Linked DNA regions of Danio rerio. The protein of the gene in region 1 interacts with the protein of each later gene in a pairwise test. Links are inferred from orthologs where the notes say so. Each region holds a gene or a part of one and is shown in the gene's direction. Other genes may lie near its edges. The genes, in order: pex19, pex10, pex12, pex16 and pex11b.

Region 1 (4,132 bases):
GTGATCGGCTCTTAGATCAATATAGAGTGGAAAAAAGTCCAGAGCTTATTATTATTGACTAATTATCAAGATTTGATTTAATATAGATTATTAACCCAGCCTCATTTCAAACACAGATTTCTTTACTACACATTTATAAAAAACAAAGAAAAAAAAACCCACCTTGACCTTTCCAAACCTTGAAACTGGTTATCATCCCATGCCTACTTACAGACCTATGTTGTCTTACCTGTATATTATTCCTCAATGGCTTTTTATTGTTGTTTAATGGTGTTGAATGTAAGTATTGTTGTAATTATTCTTCATTTTGTAGAATTTTGTTCATGCATAATTTACACTATACAATAAATTATTTATTCTACACATTTGCTTTCCTTTCAACATAACAACAGTGAATTTCTATTCTACAGACCTCTCCAGAAGTAGAGATGAAACTGTCCACAAATAAAGGCGTATAATCATAAATAATCATAAATATTACCCAAATTGTATTACCACATTTACACAAATGTAAAATACATTTCATTTCTCTCTTCAGACCCACATTGTCATGGCAAAAAATCTCGCATTTTGTGAAACATTTTTCAAGTACACAATACGTTATACATTCCTTTTCATAAAGAAATGAACAATTATAATCATAAATTAAAGCAGACAACGTGAGAAAACATTTTCTCTCCACCTATTGAGTGAACAAAGCGGCTCCAGGTACAGTTCGGTATCATTTCATTCATTTGTTCACGACACAATTTATGCAACATTTAAGGCGGTGGACGTTACTAAAAAAGCACTGGAATAAAAAAAAACACTCGCTACACTTTTCTGCCTCTGTTAGTTTCTCATAAATGAAACAAAGAGTTTTTGTAATTCAGTCTAGTCGTGGGGGCGTACATTTTACAAGCCGCCCGCAGCAGGACGTCGCTCTTCCGGTCATGCTGGTGTAAGATTACCTCGCCATTGTTAAGGTTTCGTCTCTTAGCTACAGAAATACAACCTTGTAGAATTACACAGCATGCTTAAAAATGTAAGTAAAGGCTGCAAAATATATCTAACATCAAAACAGCATCCAACACGAGGCCTCAATCCCCACACACCGTCCCCGTATTTTCGCGATGACTCGTCCTGTAAATCCCATGCAACTCTCGAGTTCAAACTCGAGCAGGCTGCGCTAAGAGGCCTAACCCGCATAAAGCCAGGCCTCAGACACCGAAGGGGTTATAACGTTACTAAACCCTGATAAACACGATTAAACGCAACTTTAAAGACATAAACACACGTTACATGTATATTTGGACCCTTACCGACTTCAACGTCTCTCCGAATCTGCAGATGAATGAACGCACGCGGAGCTTTAGCGGAACGTGGCTTTTTGGCGCTGCGCTCTTGTGACACAAAAAACACGCCACAAGGGAGCTCAGCAGAGGAAGCGGAAGTCTCGACCCCTCCCACATTCGCAATCCATTCAAATGCAGATAAACCGCCGCTTATGATACAACTAGATAGTTTTTACGTGTTTTTGTCTCTTCTATTGTCGTTTTTCCATTTCTTTTTATTTGGGGGAAGATTTTACAGCACAAGTAAGTAAACATGAAGCATCTAAAGAATCTCCCGTCATGATGCGAACAAGACGAACACACTCAAACGAGGAATAAGAACAAATAGCAAGAATAAACATTGTAGAAAATGACAAAAAATACAGTAGATGAATAAATACGTTGACACTGGCCGATATTTGATATAGTCTAAATCAGGCTCGTAGCCAGCCTGGTGAAAGGGATGGTTTTCTTTTTCTAAAAAGTGGACCTTTTTGCAGTTATTCGCTTCATTTTCTTTTTAATTGTGAGGTTTAAATGCTGATTTAGAGATATTTTAAGCATTATTTTAGCTGGATTAGCTTATCAGATGGTCAACATACCACACTTTTTGATGTACTAAAAATATTTACTAAAGATTTAAAATGAAGAAACATGAAGAAAAAATACTTATTTTTAACTTAATATACTTAACTTTATTACCCTAACTTATCCTATATAATTAGAAAAAAATGTAATCTGTTAAAGTTTTAAATTTAAAATGGTTGTCATTTATTAGGCAAATAACAAACTGAGCATCAAATTCAATTTCCTCAGGCAGAATTTTTCCATTTGAATATTGAATCATTAAAACAGTAATGATAATAATGTAGAGCTTGACAATTTTCCAGCCTCTTTTGTAAAAAATAGTACATTTGAAAATTCATCGATTACAACAATAGTCAAATCATTATTATAATTAACGTCTAGGTGCTTTACACTTTTTTATTGGTCATTTTTTCTTTCAAAAATAAGGTTCAAGACTTAGAATAAAAGTTCATTGTAAAATGTTTTTGCTATTTAACAACAATACAATATGTCAGTGGTGAAAGATGACTTCATTTATGACACATTCTGCTTGGTCTTAAAGCTATTGATATCTTAATTTCACAATTTATGATGGCTTAGCAATCAAAATGGGACAAATGAGCTCACGTATGATACAAAATCTGGACCTTTGTCTGTGGGGGGGGTGGGTCTTTCGAACTACACAAATCCACTCTGGCTACGGGTCTGTAAGTAGTTGAAGCTCTGAAATACTTTCACAAAATATAATTAGCATTTTTTTCTGCTGACCCAAATAAATGTGTGATATTTGCCCTGCAATGAAACAAAATTCATGATACAGGAAAAATGAGAACTTAAATCTGATTTTAAAAATGTTGTCTTGTTGAACAATGGTCTATATGCACAGCTGTTTTTCAGCTAATGAATTTCCAGTGAAAGGTGTATGTGACTATTTTCAGTTTCATACGGTTCTTTTTACCGCATCAATGTCGTAATGTGATTCAAATATAATCGGTTAAATAGACTTAAGCATTCGTTTTGGTTGTTAAAGAGTAAAAAGGGATGTAAGACCATTTAAATAAAGGTAGGGGCCGTCATTAGCAGCAGGCTAGCGCAGAGACTCAATTGAAAATACTGTGGTAAAATAAATGTTTTAAAGACATGGCTGTGCAGTGCTTCTCATCCAATCTGAGACCCACTTTATCCCGGATATCTATCAGGCAGTGATGATCACAGATTTTTCAGAGTTTAATAGTTTTATTGATTCTCGGGCAAATTTCAGAATGGAATACAGTATATAACTCTGTAAAGAACCAACAGTTTACCCTATTAACAAACCCAACCCAAACTAATCCCTAACTACGACTTTAAGGTCTCGGCTTAGCTGTCATTAAATACAGTTAAAGCCTCCATCTTTATATAATAAAGAGAAAATAAAATACAATAAAAAAAATGAATAGGTAAGTTCAGTCAATAACATATCACAGTTACACTGTCACAATCAGTATGTTTCTCACACATTTATTACTATTCCATTTACAAACAGGTTAAGTACTTGGACCAGTTTTATAGTTTAGGTTTAGCTTTAGTCCATTTGCTTATAAGACATTTTCTTCCAAATGTGGCCACTCTAGCAAGTTCTACCGGCCATTTTTGAAGGGAAGGGGCATCCTCTGATTTCAAACTCATGAGAATTATTTGTCTCCCAATCAGCAAACTGGTTTGGACCCAGGATTTTATGTCTTAATTTTTTATTTCAATGTCTATCCAACCACCTAACCACCTAGTATAGTCTAGGGCATAATGTGATATAAAAATCTACAACCAAACAAATGTGTTTATGAACTCTTTTCCAGAAATCTAGAATTTTTTGTACAAGACCATAGAGCATGAACTAGATTCTGGCTGACTGAAATTAAAAATCTGTGTGCATATACCCCATTGTCTTCATTTTTACCAACAGCCAGCAATGCATTTGTAGCCAACATTAAAAAACAAACAAATTTTTTATTCAGTAGTATCTATTTTATTGTGCAAAGTAAATGCCTTGGTGTGTAAATAAAACATCTATAAAAATATGAATAGTCACACCTTAGAAATTCAGGAAAACATGGAGTGCTTTATGTATTAGAATAGATAATAACAAGTGATATATAAAAAGACATTAAAATGTAATATGCAGGCATTTAGGAATATTGTTTAAAGATATTTGGATGTTTTTAGTCCTGGTCCAGAATTCGATACTCTTGTGGGACTGGGTATCTCATTAGCTG
Region 2 (3,518 bases), on another chromosome or scaffold:
TTGTTGAATGAATATGACTCTGCCTCGTCTTCGAACCGTGCTGTGCTGTAGATGCTTAATTTGGCCAACTGTTTATTATGGTGGTAGTTGGAGAGACAATTTTTTCTGAGGTGGTACTTGGTGAAAAAAGTTTGAGAACCACTGGTTTAGAGATTTAAATTGTCTACTCTGCGTAACTGTGAGTATGTTTTGTTTAGCTAAGAGTGGGAAATGCGTCCGGCGATGACCCCAGGATCAGTCACAGTTACCGTCTGCTGGGTGGCCTGTCTGTTCTCCAGCTGGCCATCACTCTCACACTGCAGTTCAACAACCTCAGGCAACGACAAAGAGCTCGGCATGAATGGAAACAGCACAGAAACCTTCTCCCCAGGTGTACAGCTCTGCACATAAAGCACTGCATGTTGTCTGATGATTCAACCTTTCATATTCCTACAGTTTTTTTATTAACTGTAAAAAATGCTTGGTTCCACACAATTTATTTATGTTGTCCCAAAACAAATCGATTAAGTTAACAAAAAAAACATCAAACTAAAACTGATAAATGTGATAATACTTTTCAGTTATGGACTTAAGCAAATATACAGTGCATACGGAAAGTATTCATAGCGCATTTCCACATTTTTTTGAAGTTACAGCCTTATTCCAAAATGGATTAAATTAATTTATTTCCTCAAAATTCTACACGCAATACCCCATAATGACAATGTGAAAAAATATTTTTTTAATTGTTGCAAATTTATTTTAAAATAAAAAACCTGAAAAAAAAATCACATGTACAGAAGTATTAACAGCCTTTGCCGTGAAGCTCTAAATTGAGCTCAGGTACATTCTTTTTGCACTGATCATTCTTGAGATGTTGCAGCAGCTTAATTGGAGTTCACCTGTGGTAAATTCAGTTGATTGGACATGATTTGAAAAGGCATACACCTGTCTATATCAGGTCCCTGGGTTGACAGTGCATGTCAAAGCACAAACCAAGCATGAAGACAAAGGAATTGTCTGTAGACCTCCGAAAAAGGATTGTCTCGAGGCACAAGGCAGGGGAAGGTTACAGAAAAATTTCTGCTTCTCTGAAAGTTCCAATGAGCACAGTGGCCTCTATCATCTGTAAGTGGAAAATGTTTGGAACCACCAGGACTCTTCGTAGAGCTGGCCGGCCATCTAAGCTGAGTGATCGGGGAGAATAGCCTTAATCAGGGAGGTGATCGATAACCCAATGAAAGGGTTGGGTATCGTTTTTTTTTTACGTTTTTTTTTTTCGATACCGGTGCTAAATCGATACTTTTAAAATGATACCGGTGCCTGAACCGATACTTTTGAGCCACAAAATTAGGGTGGATGACTCTAGAAAAATCTTTTATTTAACAAAATCTTTAAAAAAAAATCTTTTATCAGAACAATATAATTTAGACATGCTCCAACTCTACCTGTTTTTAAAAAGCGTTTGAAACACCATCTTTGTTCTTTAGTATTTGAGCCTTTTTAATGTTGAGGGATTTGCCTTATGTTTTAATTGTTATTTATGTGATGTAGATTTCATGTTTAGTATTGATTGTGTTCAGCACTTTGGCCAACGTTGTGTTGTAAAAAATGTGCTATATAAACAAACTAAACTAAACTAATTAAAGTTTTAAGTAAACATCAATTCAAATTTTATATATTTAAATTACATTAATATATTGTCTTTGATGGAGTGAATGCCAGGCGTTACGTCCGGAGAAAACCAGACACCGCTCATCACCAGGCTAACATCATCCTTACAGTGAAGCATGGTGGTGGCAGCATCATGCTATGGGGATGTTTTACAGCAGCAGGAACTGGAAGACTAGTCAGGATAGAGGGAAAGATGAATGCAGCAATGTACATCCTGAATGAAAACCTGCTCTTGACTTCAGACTGGGTCGACGGTTCAACTTCCAGCAGGGCAATGACCCAAAGCACACCGCCAAAATATCAATGGAGTGGCTTCACAACAACTTGGTGAATGTCCTTGAGTGGCCCAGCCAGAGCCCAGATCTAAATCCTATTGAGCATCTCTGGAGAGACCTGCAAATATCTGTACACTGTCGCTTCCTATCCAACCTGATAGAGCTTGAGAGGTACAGGAATGGGCAAAAATTCCCAAAGACAGGTGTGCCAAGCTTGTGGCGTCTTATCCAAAAAGACTTGAGGCTGTTATTGCTGCCAAAGGTGCATCAACAAAGTATTGAGCAAAGGCTGTGAACACTGATGTACATGTGATTTGTATATATATATATATATATATATATATATATATATATATATATATATATATATATATATATATTTATTTATTTATTTATTTATAAATTTGCAACAATTTCAAAAAATCTTTTTTCTTTTTTCTCATTTTCATTATGGGGTATTGTGTGTAGAATTTTAAGGTAACAAATGAATTTAATCAATTTTGGAATAAAGCTGTAATATAAACAAATGTGGAAAAAGTGAAGTGCTATAAATAATTTCCCTGAAGTGCTATGAATAATTTCCGGATGCACTGTATATATGATCAAATTTTTTTCTTCCTTCTGTTATTGTGTGTTTTTATTTTCCAGCCAATCAGAATCTATATTTTTTTCATCTTCTTTTTTAATTACTGACCATTGTATTTTTTTATCATCTTTTCTGAAGTCCTTAAATGAATCGTTTGTTATTTAATGCTTTCTCTCGTTACTCATTCGCCGTTTTTCTCTTCAGTCATCAGGTCAGTCAGTCGTCGTCTCGCACTTCACGCTGTATCTTGTGTTTGGAGGAGCGCAGAAACACCACCAGCACTCCCTGCGGCCATCTTTTCTGCTGGGAGTGCATTACCGAGTGGTGCAATACCAAGGCAAGACCTTCATATAGCTGTGAAGTGATGCTGTGAAGTTTAACATTACCGATGTCTGATCAGTTTTTTTTTTCTTGGTTTCTTTCATCGTAGAATGAATGCCCGCTGTGTCGAGAGAAATTCCAGCCTCACAGATTGGTTTATTTGAGAAGCTACAAGTAGACCTTGAGGTGATCGTGATGGAAATTTGACTCTGTTGCTTTTTCACATTCTCTCAGGGATTGCAAAACAGACAGTAATTTAAGGATTTCATGATTTGGGAATTATTAAGTGTATTGTTTTGTGCAAAACAAGACACTTTTACACATTTCAATCTGATACATTTTCTTTTAATTATGTTTAATTTTGTAATTATGCAGATGTTTACTGTAAAAAAAAAATGCACACATTTTCTTCAACACAATTGTTTCATGTTGTCTCAATGCAAATCAATAACACCATCTTAATCCTTCTTACAATTTTAAGTTGATTGAATATAAAAACATTTAAGTTGTCCCTAAAAACGCACTGTGAACTGTATTGTTTCAAACTAAAAAAAAACTGTGTGCTGTGTTCTGTTGGGGATGTTTTCATTCCCTCTGGGGTGATTTTGTGTCTTAATTTGGCCACAACTTTCTCTCCGTTTTAGCAAATGGAATTATTTTTGCAAAGCCATGAAACCAAATAA
Region 3 (4,274 bases), on another chromosome or scaffold:
GGGGAAACTGGAGCACCCGGAGGAAACCCACGCGAAGGCAGGGAGAACATGCAAACTCCACACAGAAACGCCAACTGAGCCGAGGTTTGATCCTGCGACCTTCTTGCTGTGAGGCAACAGCACTACCTACTGCGCTACTGCCTCGCCTCATATCGAACATTTCGCTATTTAAATTTCAAAATGAACTACCAAAATAAAACACATTAAAGTGCCTGTGGCATTAACTATACCATACAGTCTTGCTCAGAAAGGATTAAACACAGTGACAGAACCACTTAGTGAATGTACTCATTTAAACTGCCAGAGTCACTGTTAGAGATGGAAACATCAAGTGTTGTGGTATTTTAAAAAAGCCTTATTTATTATGAATCAGATCATGAAATGTGTGAATTAGCCTGTAGTTTTAATGTTTATATATGTTTAAATTCACAGTTTAATTAGAAAAGTGGCTGTTTTGATTTTTTTTAAACATGGAAGCAAAAAATGTACTTGATTATAGAAAGTGGTTTTTACTACAGTAAACAGGTGTTTTAAGCCTATTTGGCTCATTCACAACTCAAACGGCTATCTAAACATAATAGTTATAATAACTCATTTCTAATAACTGATTTATTTTATCTTTGCCATGATGACAGTAAATAATGTTTTGCTAGATATTTTTCAAGACACTTCTACAGCTTAAAGTGACTTAAAGGCTTAACTAGGTTAATAAGGTTAACTAGGCAGGCTAGGGTTATTTGGCAAGTTATTGTATTAAGATGGTTTGTTCTGTAGACTATCGAAAAAATATAGCTTAAAGGGGCTAATTATTTTGACCTTAAAATGGTTCATAAAAAATTAAAAAACTGCTTTTATTCTAGCCGAAATAAAACAAATAAGACTTTCTCCAGAAGAAAAAATATTATCAGACATGCTGTGAAAATTTCTTTGCTCTGTTAAACATAATTTGGGAAATATTTAAAAAAGAAAAAAAAATTCAAACAGGGTTTAATAGTACTGATTGCAACGTTATGCATGTATGTATGCATGTATGTATACACACACAATTTAGTTTATCCAATTCAACTATACCCGCATGTCTTTGGACTGTGGGGGAAACCGGAGCACCCAGAGGAAACACACACAAGTTTGAGGAGAACATGCAAACTCCACACAGAATTGCCAATTGACCCAGCAGGGGCTCAAACCAGCGGCTTTCTTGCCGTGAGGCGATCGTGCACCCCACTGCGCCGCTGTGACGCCACAGGTTGATATATGCAAGTGATTCATTTGATTCATCTTTAAAGGATTTATTCATATGATTCCTTTGGTTCCTTTTTATCTAAATTCAATTGTCCTATAAAATGTAAAACTCTACGAAATACACACACAGATTGTAGGTCTACAGTAGATTATCATGAACCCTCCAGCACAGCAGGTGTCAGTACAAACCCGTTTTATTGATGTTAAAGCCCCAAGAAGAAAACGCGTCTGACAGGGAAAAAAAAGTGTTGCGACAGATGATGACCGTTGACCAGTGCGTTGATTTCCAGCACTGTAACTCTCCTGAATTATTTTGTTTGGTAAAATGAGCACCATTGTCCTCATTAAAAGGCTCGACTGACGTACCTGTAGGAAGGCGTTATTGTTGTTTGCAGTAGTTTTCCTCATCAGGTGTGATGGCGGAGCGAGGAGCTCATTTAACCACAGCTGCCCCGGCTGAAGATCGACCCTCAGTGTTTGAGGTTTTAGCGCAGGACTCTTTAATGACCGCTGTCAAACCCGCTTTACTGCATGCTGTCAAGGTATGCTCGCTTTTTCATCATACTGTACTCCTGCATTTGTACTCCTTGAGTTTTGGACTGTGACGATAAATAGCGCATGGATAAAATAAATAGTCCATTTTCCCATATTATGCTCCATCGTTTACTTTGTGGCTTCTTTTTTACGGTAAAACTATCAGAATTTATGTAGGCGCATTATTACACGCCATTACGGGGATGCTGACTGAAACATCAATGACAGCATCGTGAGGAAGTTGCAATCAAATACAGTGTTTAGCAATGAGGCGAAAACAGTAAGATCAATATGAAACTACGTAAAGCGTCATTAGGAGGTAAAGCAAAAAATTGCTATTATTGGGCAGGGTTTCACAGGAATATAAGGATCCCTAGATAGTATGTCAAAGAAAGAAGATCAAAAGGAACTCAATTTAGGGCAGGTGTAAAATGTGCCTGTCTGGTTTCTTCATAAAGACTATGAGTACACTTGTAAAACACTAGTGTAATAAATGTGTCCAAAACATTATTTGGAATGTATTTCCTTTGTATTATTAATAATAATCTATTTAAAATATTACTTGTAGAATGATTCCTTTCTATTAAGGTAAAGTACAGTAAATGTATTATTTATACGTGTATATTAATTACATATATACAGTTCTCAGCATATATGAGTGCACACCTCACAGATCTCTCAGTTAAATTCACATTTTCAATAGGATGCTTTACAATATTTGTGCAAATATATTAGATTAGTCAGTTCTGAAGCCAAATTTGGAGCTAATCTAACAAAAAACTTATTACAGTCCAAAATTGGTACATACAAATGTATGTTTGGGAAAAACCATTAAATAAAGATAAAAAAGAGAAAAAATCAAGAGAAACAAAAAAATCTATAATATTTTGTTAAAATTTTGTAATTTGTTTATATTTTCTGCAATATGTCCCATAAATAATGTATCGTCCTTCCATTTCTAAAGATGTTCGATGACTAAAGCATTATTTCAATAAACATATCGGTTATGTACCAAAATATATGACCGTTATTCTCTTAAAAATGGATTAAAATATTAATTTTGCAAATGGGGTGTACTCATTTATGTTGAGCATGATGTATATATATATGTGTGTATGTATATATATATATATAGTGTACGTGAGTGCTGTAAAGGTATCAAAATGTAAAATTGTGTCGTAAAATCTAAGGTCTGCTGCAATTAACACTATTGGTGTGTCTAGCGTAATAACCCCAGGGGTCCCAATCCAATGGAAAAAGAATTAAAAGGCTAGAGCCTTTTTTTTGCATGTTGTTATTTTATGCAACTCATTCATTTTCTTGTCGGCTTAGTCCCTTTATTAATCCGGTGTCGCCACAGCGGAAGGAACCTCCAACTTATCCAGCAAGTTTTTACGCAGCGGATGCCCTTCCAGCCGCAACCCATCTCTGGGAAACATCCACACACACATTCACACACACACTCATACACTAAGGACAATTTAGTCTACCCAGTTTACCTGTATCGCATGTCTTTGGACTGTGGGGGAAACCGGAGCACCCGGAGGAAACCCGCGGGTTTTGCAGGGAAAACGCAGGGAAAACATGCAAACTCCACACAGAAACGCCAACTGAGCTGAGGCTCGACCCAGCGACCTTCTAGCTGTGAGGCGACAGCACTACCTACTGCACTACTTCTTCGATTTGATGCAACTAATAAATACTGTTTTTATCTTCTGTAGGTTATGGCTAAAATATGGTTATTCTAATAGTTTAATAACATATATGATATTTTTGGAAATCACCAAGCAACCCCTCCTCATTGTCTCATGACCCCCACTTTGGGAACCACTGGTGTATACTGCTAGCTCCAAGTAAAGCCAGCAGGCATAAGTCTCATTTAAAGAGATGGTATCAGATTGGTTTATGGTTTCACAGATGCCAGAATTTTTGCAGTATCAGCAAGTATTCCTGATACTAGTATCGGTATCGGAACAACCCTAAAAATATCCTTAAAAAATGTAACTACCGTATTTACATTCCACAGATTCTCGCTACATCTAACCCTGCCCGCTATGGAGTTCTCTGGAGGAGGTTTGATGAGATTTACGTAATCCTGGATATGTTATTGCAGCATCACTTCCTGTCCCGCACCAGCGCCTCATTTTCAGAGAACTTCTATGGCCTGAAGCGTGTGGGATCACATAGTGCCCGTGCTGCCCATTTGGGACTGCGGCGGAGGCAACACTGGCGCTCTTTACTCCTGCTGGCCCTCATTCCATACCTGCACACCAAACTGGAGAAAATCCTGGCGCGACAGAGAGACGAGGACGATTTCTCCATCCGCTTGCCGCAGTCCTTCCTGCAGAAGATGTACAGGGCGTTTTTGGCTGCGTATCCTTTCGTGTGCATGGCGTGGGACGGCTGGGTCTTCTGCCAACAGCTTTTGTACGTTTTCGGCAAAACACGGACACATTCTCCACTTCTGTGGCTTGCCGGGGTTAAACTGTCATATCTCA
Region 4 (3,518 bases), on another chromosome or scaffold:
TTCTAGGATTTTTAATGACCACAGAGAGCCAGGACCTCAGTTTAACGTCTCATCCGAAAGACGGCGTTCACTAAGCAGTATGGAGTCCCCATCACTATACTGGGGCATTAGGACCCACAGAGACCGCAGGTTAAGCGCCACCTGCTGCTCTCACTAACGTCACTTCCGGCAGTAAACTAGCTTTCCCATCATACCATCTAGAATGGTATGAACTCTTTGAGTTAAAACTTGCTGTATAACATAAAATAATTTACATAGATGTGATTAGAAAAAGATAAGTGGTCTTAAAATTTGAAAATATAAAAAAAAAAGATCTACATATCAGACACAACTCTAAAAGCTATACTATACAGTACTACTATACTATACTTAAAAAATACCCAATAACAGCATTATATGTATTAATATATAGCCCTCTGGTGACCAAGAATAAAATAAAAAATGGAAATGTGCAAATATTTAAGAATAATGATAAAAGATATTGCAGATATTTTTATTGGAAATTATACTGGAGAATCTTCTGAAATCTATTGTGGTTAATAATTTAATATATTACAGTTTTAATCTTCTGTATATAAAAACACGTGATTACAGCACAAATATCAGTGGAAATCTGAGAATCACTCAGTTAGATCATTGTATTTGTTTATTAATATTTATTAGTTTTAACTAATGCTGGTATTTTGAAATAGACCATATTGTGAATTTATAAATAACAATACCTGCAAGTTTGAAGCGTACAAATATTATTATTAAATGTTATTAAATAAATTTAATCAAAGTGTATTAGAAAAAAACAAAGTTGTATTGAAAAAATATCACAATAATTAACCCTGAAAAAAGCAGCGCAAACACTACCAGGCTGCTGATGTGTTTGCGACAAGGAGGGACAAGGATGAATCCAGCTTCTTATTCAAAGCTTCTTATTGACGCTATCCGGTCCACCTAAAAACCGCGACGCTTTCTTTTTTCAGTTTCTTGTTCGCGCTCAAGAAAACACAGTTTAATCTAAGCAAGGGCTTATTATGCGGTCCTGGCACCATCTTGTGGAAAGACAACGTCTACTGTGTTTGACTAATGGAGACCAAAGCGCTGTCTCTTAGAAATTATAAATATTTTAAAATAGGCAATGCATACAGCATAGTTGCAATCATAACAACTACATTCTCGATTAAAACAGCCTCAAAAGTACATTATGTTGTCCAATAGGAGGAATATTAGTCAAACTGTAGAGCGTCCTCTGCTTTTATGTGGGCGGAGAAATACACAGAGGTGAAGAGGCCTTTGTGTGCTGTTACTGGCAAAATATCTCACAGCTATCAGCCAATCAGATTCAAGAACCTGACAGAACTGTTAAACCTAAAAAGAACCCCCTAAAAACTAATTTAATGACTTTTAATGCAGTTTACAATAAAAGTCATTAATAAATATAAGTCTTATAAATGTATCAGAAAACTTTGAAGTTCAGAAGTCAGAGTTAATTATTTTTAATCATTAACAGGAAATGAACCACACTAAAGTGTCTCTGGAAACCACAGCGCAGGACATTTAGCAGAGACACAACAAACAATTAACGCACAGCAATAATACAGAAATATTCCCACTGATGACAGTAAATAAACAGAGAGTGAGACAATAAGTCCAGCGTATGGCATGTGTAGATAAGCTGTGTTTGTGTGTTGTGTAGGGTTGTGCTCATTTGATTTGCCCTTGAACAGAAACACGGCAGTAACTTTGAGAAGCATCAGCTCTTGCAGTCTGTGTCAAAATAGTGATGTTTTGTTCATTCGTCACACACTTATATTCTACACAGACAACAATGAAGAAGAAGATGATGAAGACAGTTCTTTTGTGGGCCAGCGTTCAGGAAGAGTGGTCCGGCCACTGGGAAGTGGTAAGACTTTGTTTGTTTGGTTTGTTTGTTTTTTGTTGTGTTGCTTTGTTTTTGCTTTTATTCATTTTCTGTTTGTCTGTTTTGGGTTTTGCTTTGCTTTATTGTTTTGTACGTTTTTTTTTTGTTTTTGGTTGTTTGCTTTTAGTTGTGTTGTTTTGTTTTTGCGTATTCGTTTCCTTTTTGTTTTTTGTTTGTTTTGTTTGTATGTTTGTTTTTGTTGTGTTGTTTTGTTTTGTTTGTTTGTTTTTTTTTGTTTTGCTTTCCTTAATTGTTTTGTATGTTTTGTTTTTAATTTGCTTTGTCTGTTTTTGTTTATGCTTTTATAAATTTTTTGTTTAGTTCTGGGTTTTGCTTTGCTTTAATGTTTTTTGTTTTTTATTTTGTTTGTTTTTATTGTGTTTTTTGCTTTTTATTTGTTTTTGTTTTGTTAGTTTTGTTTTTTGTTGTATTGTTTTTTTTACTTTTATTATTTTTTTGTTTTGTTTTTCTTTTTGTTTTGTGTTTAGCTTTGCTGTGTATTGTTTTGTTGGTTTTTTTTATTTGTGTTTTGTTATTGCTTTTATTTGCTTTATTAAAAAATCAAAAATTGTCGGAAAATGCCTGATTTTTAATTATAACAAATGACAAATTTTTTCTTAAACAGTTACCAAAAATACGTAAGTCCTCTTAATTACATTTTTTTTTTTTTAATTTTGGAAGAAATATTTTCAGCTCTTTTAAAGAATAAAGCAAACATTAATATCTAAAATATATAATAATTAACTATATTAATTGGTATATAAACCAATATTGCCCAAACCCATTCCCAATGTGTTGAAAAAAATCTCTCCATTAAATAGAAATTGGGGAAAAAAATATAAAGGGGGCTAATAATTCTGCCTGTACACCTATACCTATATATTAATGATAAGAACACACAAAATACAAAATGAGAACTATAAAATTAAAATAACACAATCTTACATGCATTTCTAAATAGCTGGTAAAATACATGGTGGTCATTCTTGTAATAGTGTCCATTATTTATCCTTTAACCAAGTGTACAAAAATGGTTCCATGCCATTAAAAATGTGTAAGTGTATTTTTCTTTTTCTAGCACCATCATTACAGTCTCGTCTCTGGGGTCTCCCTCGGAAAAAGAAAGTAAGCAGGAATCAGGAAGAGGAGCTTTACTCCAGCCCGACTCCTCTGGGTCTGCAGGAAACCATCGCAGAATCCCTGTACATCGCAAGACCGCTTCTGCACCGTATCCTTCCTCAGTGTTTCACAACAATATCAGTGCAATATTAACCCAGAGGTGTAGAAACAATCTCAGGGGTGTAGGAACATCAATAAGTCGAAGTCATGTAGTTTTATTAGATTTTCACCATGTTCAGTCCACTACTGTTGTGTGATCGGCACATTGTGTGGCACATTTTTTTTTTTTCATAGCATAATCAAGTATTTCCAAGAAAACAAGATGATTTAATGTAGTAATTCTCACTTGTTTTGACTTGAAGGCTGCTTCTTTTTGTCCCAAGCACTATTTGAAGGCCAACACTTGTAGTCTCTAAATGGTGTTTCATGCCTGCAGAAGTGCTTGTGTTTTTCAAGGTTGCCGGCCTTTTGCATGGCTTTTAGTTGT
Region 5 (3,009 bases), on another chromosome or scaffold:
GTACAGTGTTGCCATTTGGAAACACATACATTTAAACGATTTACAGAAAACTTAATAAAAAAAAAAAAGAATGAATATGATGAACGAATGAATATGTCATCATAACTTACTGGAGGTGATGTTTCAGATTTTTTTTATGGATCTGACATGAGTTGTTGTTTATTGATGTTTACATTTGCATTCAGCAATACTCGCAATAAACGCCAGTCTGTGAGAAATCATGCCACAGAAAAACACTGCATGTCATGTGGCTTAACCAAAGCACATCATTGGCTACACTAAGGTCTTCTCTTTCCAAAAAAAAAACTTTAATATTGGTCTTAAAGAAACAATGGCAGGGAAATTAAAGCAAATATCATGTCTTTGGCAACACCATGCAGTATATATAATAAAATATCCATCATAAGCACAGCAAAGCTGTACATATTAGGGTAAAAATACGATAAAAAGTAGCTGGTACACTATATTCATCATTATAAAGCTGTTTTAGTTTGAATTTTTTTTTTCTTTGTTTGATATATAATACAGTTTTATTGTGTACTGATATTACTGTATGTCTAATACAGTGGCTTTCTTCTAGTTTCCCCTTAAGTCCAAAAACATGCGGTATAGGTGAATTTGGTAGGCTAAATTGTCCGTAGTGCATGAGTGTGAATAATTGTGTTTGAATGTTTCCTAGTAATGGTGGGTTGCAGGCGAAAGGGCATCTGCTGCGTAAAACTTGCTATATAAGTTGGCGGTTCATTCCGCTGTAGCGACCCCAGATTAATAAAGGGACTAGCCCGAAAAGAAAATGAATGAATGAATGAATGAATGAATGTCGAATAATTGTATGGCATGAAATGATGTTCTCACACAGTAGAGCTTCTATATATGGTACAGAAAATATTTTTTTTATATTTACAAACTTTGTTGTCTCACTGATATAGCTTAAAATAAGTGCTGGTTTATTTTTATACAGATATTTATTTGAATGGTCTGTTATAAAAATGTGAAATTTCATGACATGCTCAAAATGTCATATATTTAAAAAAAATGTATGTGAAATTGTTGAATCTTTTCACCCCACATTGTTCTCCAATGTAAGTTTCATATAAGCAACTACAGTGCATACTACAGTACATACAGTATGCCTCCTAAAAACTCACAAATTTGATTTGTGATCATACACATCCTCAATGTTAATATGCCTCAGTGTTTGAGTGCGTTTTGTGTGTTTTTGTCAGTGATGTGGTTGGGAAACTCAGCTGAAGCTCTGGAAGCCGCCAAACGCACTGTTCATCTGTCAGACTGTGTGTTGCGTCTCTGCATCACAGTGGCTCATTTGAACAGAGCCATGTATTTTGCCTGTGATAATGTACTGTGGGCCGGAAAAACAGGACTGCTGCCTGAACTGGACCAAAACAAATGGAGCCAGAGATCATTTAGGTGTGTTTTTTTTTTTTGTCTACTTTAAACCTGTTCCTTTTATTAAGTGAATAATTTAGTTTAAAAATGTTATAACCAGACATTAACTTGACATTTGATGTTTATTTTGTATTAGTATTTTTAATGAGTAAATAGTTTCTATATTTAATTTAGGTTTTAAATAAGACATGTAATTTTGGCATTTTCATCTAATACAATTTAGAAAGCATAAATGCAAGTAAAGTGTATCATTTTTAAGTTTTTTTATTATTATTATTTTAAAATGTAGGTCAAATAATGATTTGATGAGATTGCAAACTGAACAACAAAATATGCTGAAATGGACTCAAATCATCTTACTAAAGTTTTATTATATTTTTAATTATTAAAGTCTTGCTGTCAAATGGATAAAACTTAAAGTATAAGTATAGAAAGATAAAGTATAAAGATTTAAAAATACAATTCATTTGTGTTTTGTAGCTTAAATTGTCTTTTTTAAATCAACTACACTAAAAGTCTTTAAATATAATGCCATCAGTTAATTTTAGTTTATATGTCTTCCAAAATTTTAATATGTCATGCAGGCAGTATATATAAAGTAGATCAATAACAATAATTTAGTATGAGATTTATTTAGATTACTTTTATAATAAATGAAGATTGATGATTTTTCTGCTAATTTAAACGACTATAAAAGCAGCCACCAGGGGTCGCCAATAAATTAAAATGTAAATTTAAAGGGATAGTTCACCCAAAATGAAAACTGACAGTATTTGTTAGGGGTGTAACGGATCACAACCCACAGTTCGGATTACACGTGACCCCCAGATAATTTTTTTTTTAACCTATAGGTTAATTTGATATTCATAATGATTGCACAGAGATCACCTCACACGTCATTCAAATCAGTGTATGAAAGCATTTTGACTTCCCTGTAATATATAATGATGACAAAAAGTTGTGATGGGACCCACCTAAATGCTTTCTTAGGTTATCTATTAAATATGTGTTTTTTTGTCACTGTTTGTTTAGCCTAGGCTAATGCATTCAGTGTAAGCTGCACAATTAAACATTAGAAGATTGTGATCTCAATTCAAACCCGCGCAACATGAATGATAAATGATAATGATTTGCATATGTTTATTAATCCTTCAAAGCAATGCGTTCAAATCTGCATATTATCGAGAGAGATGCAGTTTTTACACTTTTTGTCAGTTTGTCACAAACAATTAAAAAGCACAGAAGAACTGGGAGAACAGTTTATAGTCCAGATATAAACACTGATATTTATGGTAAAGATTAAAATCAACATTTAATGGAACTTGACGCTGGTGAATGTTGTAGCAATTGCATTGTGCAACCAACCATCCAAATGATGTCACTGAATAGGTTTTCAAAAAACGATCCAAAACATAAAGTTTAATGTGAAAATTGTTGAATCATTCATTGAAAATAAATATGTTGTACGAGATGTTAGATTTCTATAATTATCATTATCAGAAACAGTAGCAAAGATCATTTTTCGTATTGAATATTTTCCTTTTTTTTTAGCTGGTTCTTTTTTTATTTTTATTTGATTTAAAAACAGGTTCTAAGTTCTAT

What was found.
Region 2: the proteins of pex19 (region 1) and pex10 interact in a two-hybrid assay, tested with the Homo sapiens proteins (4 studies listed by BioGRID and IntAct, with this or other methods). The link is inferred for Danio rerio from reciprocal best matches to the Homo sapiens genes PEX19 and PEX10.
Region 3: the proteins of pex19 (region 1) and pex12 interact in a two-hybrid assay, tested with the Homo sapiens proteins (4 studies listed by BioGRID and IntAct, with this or other methods). The link is inferred for Danio rerio from reciprocal best matches to the Homo sapiens genes PEX19 and PEX12.
Region 4: the proteins of pex19 (region 1) and pex16 interact in binary tests that used the Homo sapiens proteins (3 or more experiments, as listed by UniProt). The link is inferred for Danio rerio from reciprocal best matches to the Homo sapiens genes PEX19 and PEX16.
Region 5: the proteins of pex19 (region 1) and pex11b interact in binary tests that used the Homo sapiens proteins (3 or more experiments, as listed by UniProt). The link is inferred for Danio rerio from reciprocal best matches to the Homo sapiens genes PEX19 and PEX11B.

What each region holds. Positions count from the first base shown.
Region 1 is NC_133177.1:40,112,237-40,116,368, forward strand, and holds the start of pex19 (peroxisomal biogenesis factor 19), read left to right. Parts: upstream 1-1,314; 5' UTR 1,315-1,333; coding exon 1,334-1,577; intron 1,578-3,096; exon of another isoform or gene 3,097-4,078; coding exon of another isoform or gene 4,079-4,132. Other genes in the region: tspan37 (tetraspanin 37), read right to left, coding at 4,079-4,132. UniProt on the Homo sapiens protein: Necessary for early peroxisomal biogenesis. Acts both as a cytosolic chaperone and as an import receptor for peroxisomal membrane proteins (PMPs).
Region 2 is NC_133183.1:57,048,147-57,051,664, reverse strand, and holds the end of pex10 (peroxisome biogenesis factor 10), read left to right. Parts: intron 1-197; coding exon 198-370; intron 371-2,718; coding exon 2,719-2,851; intron 2,852-2,944; coding exon 2,945-3,013; 3' UTR 3,014-3,354; downstream 3,355-3,518.
Region 3 is NC_133180.1:67,482,253-67,486,526, reverse strand, and holds the start of pex12 (peroxisome assembly protein 12), read left to right. Parts: upstream 1-1,468; 5' UTR 1,469-1,658; coding exon 1,659-1,784; intron 1,785-3,802; coding exon 3,803-4,274. UniProt on the Homo sapiens protein: Component of a retrotranslocation channel required for peroxisome organization by mediating export of the PEX5 receptor from peroxisomes to the cytosol, thereby promoting PEX5 recycling.
Region 4 is NC_133193.1:47,886,231-47,889,748, reverse strand, and holds part of pex16 (peroxisomal biogenesis factor 16), read left to right. Parts: intron 1-1,813; coding exon 1,814-1,894; intron 1,895-2,990; coding exon 2,991-3,140; intron 3,141-3,518. UniProt on the Homo sapiens protein: Required for peroxisome membrane biogenesis. May play a role in early stages of peroxisome assembly. Can recruit other peroxisomal proteins, such as PEX3 and PMP34, to de novo peroxisomes derived from the endoplasmic reticulum (ER).
Region 5 is NC_133194.1:26,481,242-26,484,250, forward strand, and holds part of pex11b (peroxisomal membrane protein 11B), read left to right. Parts: intron 1-1,226; coding exon 1,227-1,428; intron 1,429-3,009. UniProt on the Homo sapiens protein: Involved in peroxisomal proliferation. May regulate peroxisome division by recruiting the dynamin-related GTPase DNM1L to the peroxisomal membrane. Promotes membrane protrusion and elongation on the peroxisomal surface.